Linked DNA regions of Sus scrofa. The protein of the gene in region 2 interacts with the protein of the main gene of each other region in a biochemical or structural test. Links are inferred from orthologs where the notes say so. Each region holds a gene or a part of one and is shown on either strand. Other genes may lie near its edges.

The links.
Region 1: the proteins of PAX3 (region 2) and SOX10 form a complex in vitro, tested with the Homo sapiens proteins (2 studies listed by BioGRID and IntAct). The link is inferred for Sus scrofa from reciprocal best matches to the Homo sapiens genes PAX3 and SOX10.

Annotation. Positions count from the first base shown.
Region 1 is NC_010447.5:9,889,243-9,893,372, forward strand, and holds the start of SOX10 (transcription factor SOX-10), read left to right. Parts: upstream 1-1,196; 5' UTR 1,197-1,439; intron 1,440-2,399; 5' UTR 2,400-2,481; intron 2,482-3,003; 5' UTR 3,004-3,081; coding exon 3,082-3,521; intron 3,522-4,130. UniProt on the Homo sapiens protein: Transcription factor that plays a central role in developing and mature glia.
Region 2 is NC_010457.5:124,186,349-124,190,378, reverse strand, and holds part of PAX3 (paired box protein Pax-3), read left to right. Parts: intron 1-682; coding exon 683-812; intron 813-1,956; coding exon 1,957-2,091; intron 2,092-4,030. UniProt on the Homo sapiens protein: Transcription factor that may regulate cell proliferation, migration and apoptosis. Involved in neural development and myogenesis. Transcriptional activator of MITF, acting synergistically with SOX10.

The DNA of each region.
Region 1 (4,130 bases), on a different chromosome or scaffold from region 2:
TCCCTGCTCCCCAGGGATGAACACAGGGCATCCCCCCGCCCCTGCTGGAGAAAGCCGGGTCCCTGGGGCCCGGACTGGATGGAGGACATCAGAGTTCCCAGCATGGCGGGCAGTGTGTTCACAGCAGAGGCTACTCCCCCCGCCATCCAGAGCCCTGGGCATTTGACAGCACCCCCCTCCCCCCCGCAAGGCCCACCAGCCTCATCCAGCACCTCTCAGCAGAGAGCCCAGCACGGCGCTATGGAGACAGGAGGAGAGAGGAGGAGAGGGGGGGAGAAAGGGACGGGGGAGGGGAAGAGAGAGGCCCCTTCAGTGCAGCGTGGCTTTTCTGCAGACCCAGAGCGCCCACTGCCACCCCCACCCCCATCCTGGCACAGCTGGGCCCAGGAGGGTGAAGGGGGGAGGCGGGGAGTCGAAAGGGGAGCTGTGGGACCCCACACCTGGCTTCCTACCCTCCACGGCCACCCCTCCCTGCCTGGGGCGGGGGTGGGGGGGTCCACAGGCCGAATCACAGACACCACACCTCCTCAAGAGGAGGAACCCAGGGGTGGAAGGATGAGCGGGGACCCACCGGGATCGGGAGATGCCAGGCAGGCGGGCCGCGGGCGGGCAGCAGCGGGTGTTGGAGACTGCTGTGGGCAGCCGGACACGACCAGCTGGATGCTCGTCCCTCCGTCCCTCTGTCCATCCAGGGCGGCTCCTCTCTGGGCGGTTCTGAGGCCGGGCGGGCGCTGTTAAAAAGCTTTTTATGTGTGTGTGTGTTAATCACATGATTGCCGTTCACCTGTATTTCGAACAAAGACAGCTCACTGTTTCAAGGCCCCGAACAAGAGTCTGGGCACAGGGAAGAGAAGGGAGGCGGGGGGAGGAGGGTTGGCAGCGCCGGGGGTGGCGTCGAGGAAAACTGGGGGGAGATTGTCCAAGGCCGGCGAGCGAGAGAAAGAGAAAACCCTTATCAAACTCCTAATTCACTGGGCTCCGAGGCCCCAGACACACTGGCCCGATTGTCTGGCTGGTTGTGTGTGCGAGCATGTGTGTGTGTGTGTGTGTGTGTGTGTGTGTGTTCCAATGTCCGCTCCCCCCGCCCCCAACATGCCTTCGCCTCGTGTGACTACCTCATTGTGTCCCCCCCCCACCCCCTGGCCTTTCCCAAGCACGAGGCCTCGCCTAGACCCCCTCCAGCCCTACTCCACACAGGACTCCCTCCCGGTGGGCCTGGGGCCTTGCCCCGCTGCTGAGGAGCTCAGAAACCCCAGATCGCCACCTTGGCCCAGGCTCCATCTGTCCTCCGCGCACACCCTCGCCTCTGCCTCGACACCCACCTTTCAAGAAGAGATGGGGCGGTGATCTTTGCAGGAGGAGCCTGGGCAAGCCGAGGAAGATGGGAAGGACAGAAACATGGAGGGGTCACCCCACGAGGAAGGGAGCTGAGGGGACAAGTGAGCCGAGAGGAGGAGGAGGAAGGCAGGGCTCGTCCCTCGCCTGTGTCAGGGTGGGGGAATAGGGGATTGGCGACAAGGACTGGGACTCCCGCTACCCGACAGAGCCTGACCCCAGGGTGGAGGGAGTTGGGTCCCAAGAACCTTTCAGATCTACTTGAAGACAATCCCAGCCCAGCTCCGGCCCAGCCTCCTGTCTCTCCGCCTTGAGCCAGCGTAGCCCTTAGGGGCTGGGCCTCCGGTGACAGGGGCCAGGGGTGGAGCAGGGGGATCTGCCCTGGGCAGGGGGTGTCCAGCAGCGCCCTGCCCCACTGGGTATGGACCCGCAATCTTCCTCTCTTGCTGTTTAAGTTGAGGACGGGAGGGCAGCCTGGGCGGAGGTAGGAGGCAGGGTGAGACAGGCTGGCACTCAAGAAGAGGTCCTAAGTGAAGCCACCCAGGCCAGCGCCCTCGCATGTGACAGAGCCTTCACCTGCCTCCTCCTCATTCCTCCCCAGTCCTTTGCCAGCCGCCCATCCCACCACGCCGACGCAGAGGTTGGGGGTCCCAGTTGGGCCCAGTTTTCCTCCAAGCTACAGGTTCTGCCCCTGCCCACCTGCACCCATTGGCTTCCCTGGCCTGACCGCCCCCATTCCTACACCTCCCAAGATGGGCCTGGGGCAGCAGTGCAGGGGAGCCGGGGTGGGTGGGGTGGGGGTGGGGGGCCTGGCGGAGGAGCCCTGAGTGTTGGGGACGAAGGAAAGCGCTGGAGGCTCCACCTTCTGCCCTTCCCTCCCTCCCCTCCCCCTCCCCCTCTCCCCCTCCTTCCTTCCCCAGCCCTCGGCAGCAGCTCAGCGCTCAGTCAGTCTCAGGCTGTCCGGCCAGGGTGGTTGGTGGTGAGGATTCAGGCTCCGTCCTGACTGAGGCTCAGGGCCCCCAGCCCCTCCCTCCCAACCCACCAGCGTCCCGCCCCCCCCCCAGCCCCGAGCTGGACCGCACACCTTGGGACACGGTTTTCCACTTCCTAAGGACGAGCCCCAGACTGGAGGAGAGGTCCGAGGAGGTGAGTGAGTGCGCAGCCCGCTCCTCCGTTCCTCCCTTCCGGGGCCCAGGCCCGGGCCCCTTCGGCGGGGCGTGGGCTGGAGAGAGGCTGCCACCGGCATCTGTCCCCCATTCAGCCCCTCTCGATCCTTGGGGGCAGGCGGAAGGGAAGAAGGGAAGGCGAGAGAAAAGGTGGGAAATTCCAGGAGCCAGGATTAGAGCAGAATAAAGAGTCCGTTTTTCTTCCTTTCCATCAACAAACCTCCACCCAAGAGGAGGTTTTTAAAAAAAAAAAGAAAAGAAAAAAAAAAAAAAAGCCCAAACCCACCCACACCAAGAGACGGCTGGGACCAGGTGGTGGGAAGACGCAGAGGCGGGAGCCAGGGAGGCCGAGCCTGGGTCTGGCATGTGCGCGGGCCCCAGGGGTTTCGGTGGGTTAAGGGGAAGCCGGGCGGGAGCCACCTCGGGGCTCAGCCCGCGTCGCGTCGGGGCCGCCGTCGGGGCTTCGCGCACGCCGCTCCATCGCGCCCTCCTTCCCGTCCAGGTGGGCGTTGGACTCTTCGCGAGGACCCCGGCGGCGGGCCCCGGGGAGGTGGCCGAGGCGGCGGCGGCCGGGGGCGACATGGCGGAGGAGCAGGACCTGTCGGAGGTGGAGCTGAGCCCCGTGGGCTCCGAGGAGCCCCGCTGCCTGTCCCCGGGGAGCGCGCCCTCGCTGGGGCCCGACGGCGGCGGCGGCGGCGGCGGCGGCGGATCGGGCCTGCGAGCCAGCCCGGGGCCAGGCGAGCTGGGCAAGGTCAAGAAGGAGCAGCAGGACGGCGAGGCGGACGATGACAAGTTCCCCGTGTGCATCCGCGAGGCCGTCAGCCAGGTGCTCAGCGGCTACGACTGGACCCTGGTGCCCATGCCCGTGCGCGTCAACGGCGCCAGCAAGAGCAAACCGCACGTCAAGAGGCCCATGAACGCCTTCATGGTGTGGGCGCAGGCGGCGCGCAGGAAGCTGGCCGACCAGTACCCGCACCTGCACAACGCCGAGCTCAGCAAGACGCTGGGCAAGCTCTGGAGGTGAGCGCCCCGACCCGCCCGCCGGCGGGCAGCTCCCGCGGGCCCTCTCACTACGGGTGGCACTGCCGGGGGGTGGGGGGGCCCTCACCAGGGGCAGCCACCTCCCTGATGGGCCTGCTGCGGGCATGGGGCCCGCCCTTCCCCCACAGCACCCCCTGGGGGCTGCGCTCCTCGGAACTCTCCCCACGGCCTGGGCCTGTCTCCCCAGCCGGGGCAGAGGGCTGGAGGGCGCCCCCTCGTGGTTGGAATTCTGTCGGTGGCAGGGGCTCGGGCCTGGGCTTCGTGGGGCCAGTGAAGGCGGGAGGGAGCATGGGAAGGGTGGTGGGGGGCTCGGCACCGCAGGCCTTCACTAGCCCTTTCCACAGGCATGCCACTCAGGGGCTACTGCCACCCCTTCCAAGGGTCAAGGGCATGATGGGAAAATGCTTGGGAAAGAACTCTAGGCCTGGCTGGGGAGGCAGGGACACTGAGGCAGCCAGGTGGAGAACGGTGCCAGCCTTGGGGGGGATGGCAAACAAGGAATTTTGAAAGGGTGAGGGATGGAGAACTGCTGAGGCCAGACTGGCCACCGCAGGACCCCGTCCAGCTGCCTTCCCGGTGCCTTTCTGA
Region 2 (4,030 bases):
AAGGTCTGCCTTTTCTTCTGGATGTGGGGAAAATCTAAAGTAATTTTCTAGTTGCCACAGTGCAAAATTAAAAGGAGAGTTCTGGTAAACTGAAAACTTCCAAACAACAGCCTCTCCTCCCATGCCAACCCTCTTTGAATCTCTGAAAACGTTTTTTATTGGGGGAAAAAAGAGCCAGTCTCTCAAATGATCCATATTTGCTATCCATTCTAATACTTAAAACCTAGATACTCACCTTTTGCATTTCATTTTGCTCTTCACTTTAGCTAAAATCTCGTGCACCTTTGGAAAGGCACAAGTTACAGATTTCACTGGATGCTTCTGCCCCTCTTTCAAGCGTTCCTTTTTTAGTTTCGTTTTCCAGTGGACTCAGTGTAAAGAGTTACATTTCTTTATTCACATGGATCAGAAGGTACACCCCCTGTAATGTGTTGTACCTTTTCTTAAATTATCCTAATTGTGGGAGCTCACTGGGGGAGAAGAGTTCCCAGGCTGCTGCAGGCTGGGATGGTTTTCTCTCTGCCCCTTTTAAACTGCCTTGGGGTGTCAGGGTCCTTTTTGCTAACCAGGGGGACCTTCCCAGGGGTTGCAAGGAGCATCCCGTCAGGCCCGCAGACAGTGAGGCTTCGACATCTGGCCCAGAGGACTGGGTACCAACGCTTGCCTGCCTGTTCTCTTAAAGCAGGTGACAACGCCTGACGTGGAGAAGAAAATTGAGGAATATAAAAGAGAGAACCCCGGCATGTTCAGCTGGGAAATTCGAGACAAACTACTCAAGGACGCGGTCTGTGATCGAAACACCGTACCCTCAGGTACGAGGCCCATTAAACGTCTTCCTGAGACAAGACGTCAGCCGCCGTTCCCAGCCGAACCATAATCACCCCGCTGGTCGATCTGGGGATAGGCGGGCAGCCCCTCCCAGGGCTCTGAAATATTTACGAACTAGACATTTTTGGTGTTTTATGGAGGAATGATGAGCTGCTTGTCCTGGGGTTGAGAGACTGCCGCTGAGGGCTCCCCAAAGAGAATTTCTGTCGTGCAGGCAGGGCAGGAAACGCGAGGCAGAGGCCAAACGTTTATTAATATTGATGTTCCCTTTTAAAAAGAAACAAATGTTTGGGTAACCCCAACTGAAGGGAGATGGGGCCGCGCCAAAGGAGACTTCGCTGGGTGCTCATAGGAAGGAAGGCTTCGGCAACCGCCAAGATTTTTTTTCTGGGAGAGTCCCAGGGATCATCCGGCGCCCCCGGCGGCCAGGGGGAGGCGGACAGAGAAGAGGGGCGAGTGCAGGGCGAGCGCGAGGGCGCACGGGTTTGTTTTTAATTAAAAGGAAACTCCCTTACCCCCCCCCCTGCGAGAACGAGATATTTCAGAGCATGGATTTGTTTACCAGACTGGAATCTGGAAAAAATAAATGGGGAGAGTGCATTTTCTTTTGATTTTTACAATAGGAAACGATTCCGCAGTTGAAATTTAAACCCTTTATAGCCTCAAAAAAAGTTGAATTGCAGGGAACGGGTCCTCTCTGGTTCTGCCTCCCTTAATGTGAACTGTGGGGCGCAATGCTTTCCGGCTGAGGGGGTGCAGGATGGGCCAGTGGGAGAATTTCCTTAGATTGGAGATCTAGAGACCTGTCTTTGGAATCAAGGAGGGAAACGCTTCCTACTGGGGAGAGAGGACGGAGACGGCGGTCCCTGGCCCTAACTTGAAGGCTCAAACTTTCCAGGCTCCCGGTTCCCTGTTCCCTAGAAGCCGATAAGGCGACGGGGGATTTCAGGAGGGGAAGAGTCTAGAAAGGTGAGGATGCCCAAAGATGCTGGAGGAGACCAAAGCAAGCTGTTCATGGCAGGCCTTCTAGGCCCCTCATTCCTACCCCGACTGGGGACTGGTGGGCCCCTTCCAGCAGGGCCCTACAAGTCTCAGTCCTATGCGCTCCCTTCCTCCTCCCGCCCCCAGTGAGTTCCATCAGCCGCATCCTGAGGAGTAAATTCGGGAAAGGCGAAGAGGAGGAGGCCGATCTGGAGAGAAAGGAGGCTGAGGAGAGCGAGAAGAAGACGAAACACAGCATCGACGGCATCCTAAGCGAGCGAGGTAAGCGGCGGCGCGCTGGGCGGCGCCCTGTCGTCCTGCGCCTCGGCAAACATCCGCGCTCTGACGTTGGGGGCCTTGAGGGCAGCGCAGCCCCGGCTCGTGTCAAGGTGCCTCCTTGCTCATATCTACTGCATCCGGCTAAGAGCATTCAAGGGAAGGACCAGAGACGCACTTGCAGGGAACACAAAAATCTTTTAGGGTCTGTTTTTTGTCTTTTTTTTTTCTCTTCTATTTTATCTATTTTCCTGCCGCACCACTCTCAGTCCTTGGGAGTCTGGAACTGCGAATTGTGCTCTAGGTGTGGGGCTACTCTCTCGCCCTCAGGCATAAGGCACTGGGCATCTCTGAATGGGGGGGGGGGCTAAGGGCAGTCCGTGAGCCTCCGGAGATTAAAGGGACTTTTGCGCCCTTAGGAAAGGCCCGGATCTCCAGAGTCTTTCCCACAGCAGAGTAGGGAGGGGAGCGAGGGAGAGAGGGTGGGGGACAGGGTTCTGGAGAGGAAGAGACTCAAAACTCTTTTAGGCAGAAGGGTGCCAAAGTTGTATGGCGCTGACTGTCATAGATATATATGTGTAGATTGGCTTTTTTTTCCCTTTTAAATTGGTTTCCAAATGCGGTAGGATTTGAGCTGTGTGTCTCTGGAAAGTAAAACAAGCCTAAGCTCTGGGCTACAAACTGAAGAGATCCGGGTTCTTGGGCACGCGGTGCTGGCACCCTTTCTCCGCCCTGGGGAGCGGACTAATGGCTTCTTGTTGGCTGCGAACTGCCAGCCTCAAGAGAAAAATCTCCCCCGTGGAGCCATAAGTGCAGCTTGCTTCCCTTTTACCAGCTGCGGGTTATCTCCAGATTCTAAAGGTAACCCCCTCCCACAAAAAAGTCGACCCTTTGGGAACTGAACCCCAAAGCGTTCACAGCCTCAGGAGAGTCTCAGCACTTTCGGCCTTGGGGAAGATTGCACCTCTTCAAAGACGCAAAGTGTCTGGAGTCGCGCCCCCCACCCCGCCCACGCGTGGCCTTCCCTCGCCTGGGGCCGAGACTTGGTTAGACTGAGTTGACTTTTGAGTTCACCAGGTGAGCTTGAAGCGGTCACCCACTTCGACCAATTGGGTCTCAGACCCCAGCCAGTGGCGTCCGGGGCAGGATTGTGGGTAGGGAAGCCGATCATTTGCCCAACCACGGGGCGAACCGCTGTCCCTCCGGGGCAGCAGCTTTACAAATCAATGCAAACTCTGTACACGACCTCGAAGGGACATAGATTTAGATGCAGCGTGGAGATGCTGGGGAGGGAGGAGGGCGAGAAACCAGCCCACCCCAAACCCAACGGACCCCAGCAGGCAGCGGGGCCATAAGCCCAGCGGGTAGGGGAGGCTCAGGAAGGGGGATGGAGGGTGGCAAGGCTTTGCTACTTGTTGCTGGAGGCGCCTGCGCGGCAGATCGGCAGCTCCCTCGCAGCTACCGGCAACCGAGGCCCAGGAGACAAAACGCCCCAAATGAGCTGGTCAAACATTTGTACAACTTTTCCAGCTTTTACAAAGAAGGCCTTCTCTACACAATCTACACTTGGAGATGAACTTGGGAGACAAAGCCTGGAGAGTCCATTGAAACTCACACTTTAGCTCGGCCCAGACAAAGCTCCAGCTCGCAGCAGCTTGATGTGAACAAAGGAAGGCAACCTTTTTATAATTCAAGGAGAAAAGAAGAGAAAACAGCCCCACAAAGGGCTGAGAATAGACATTATGGGCTTGCAATGAGGGATGAATTATTCAATGAGCCCCAATAGCTGCTGCACCAGGAAGTTTTATGGACTCTCCAGCGTGGAAAAAGTGGCCATTTCACCTACAAAATGTTTCTAGTCTTTTGGGCCATCTAGTCGGGCCCGCTGCCATTGAAGGGCAATTGCTACCATTTAAAAAAATCAGAGTATTTTCCCCAGCGGGGG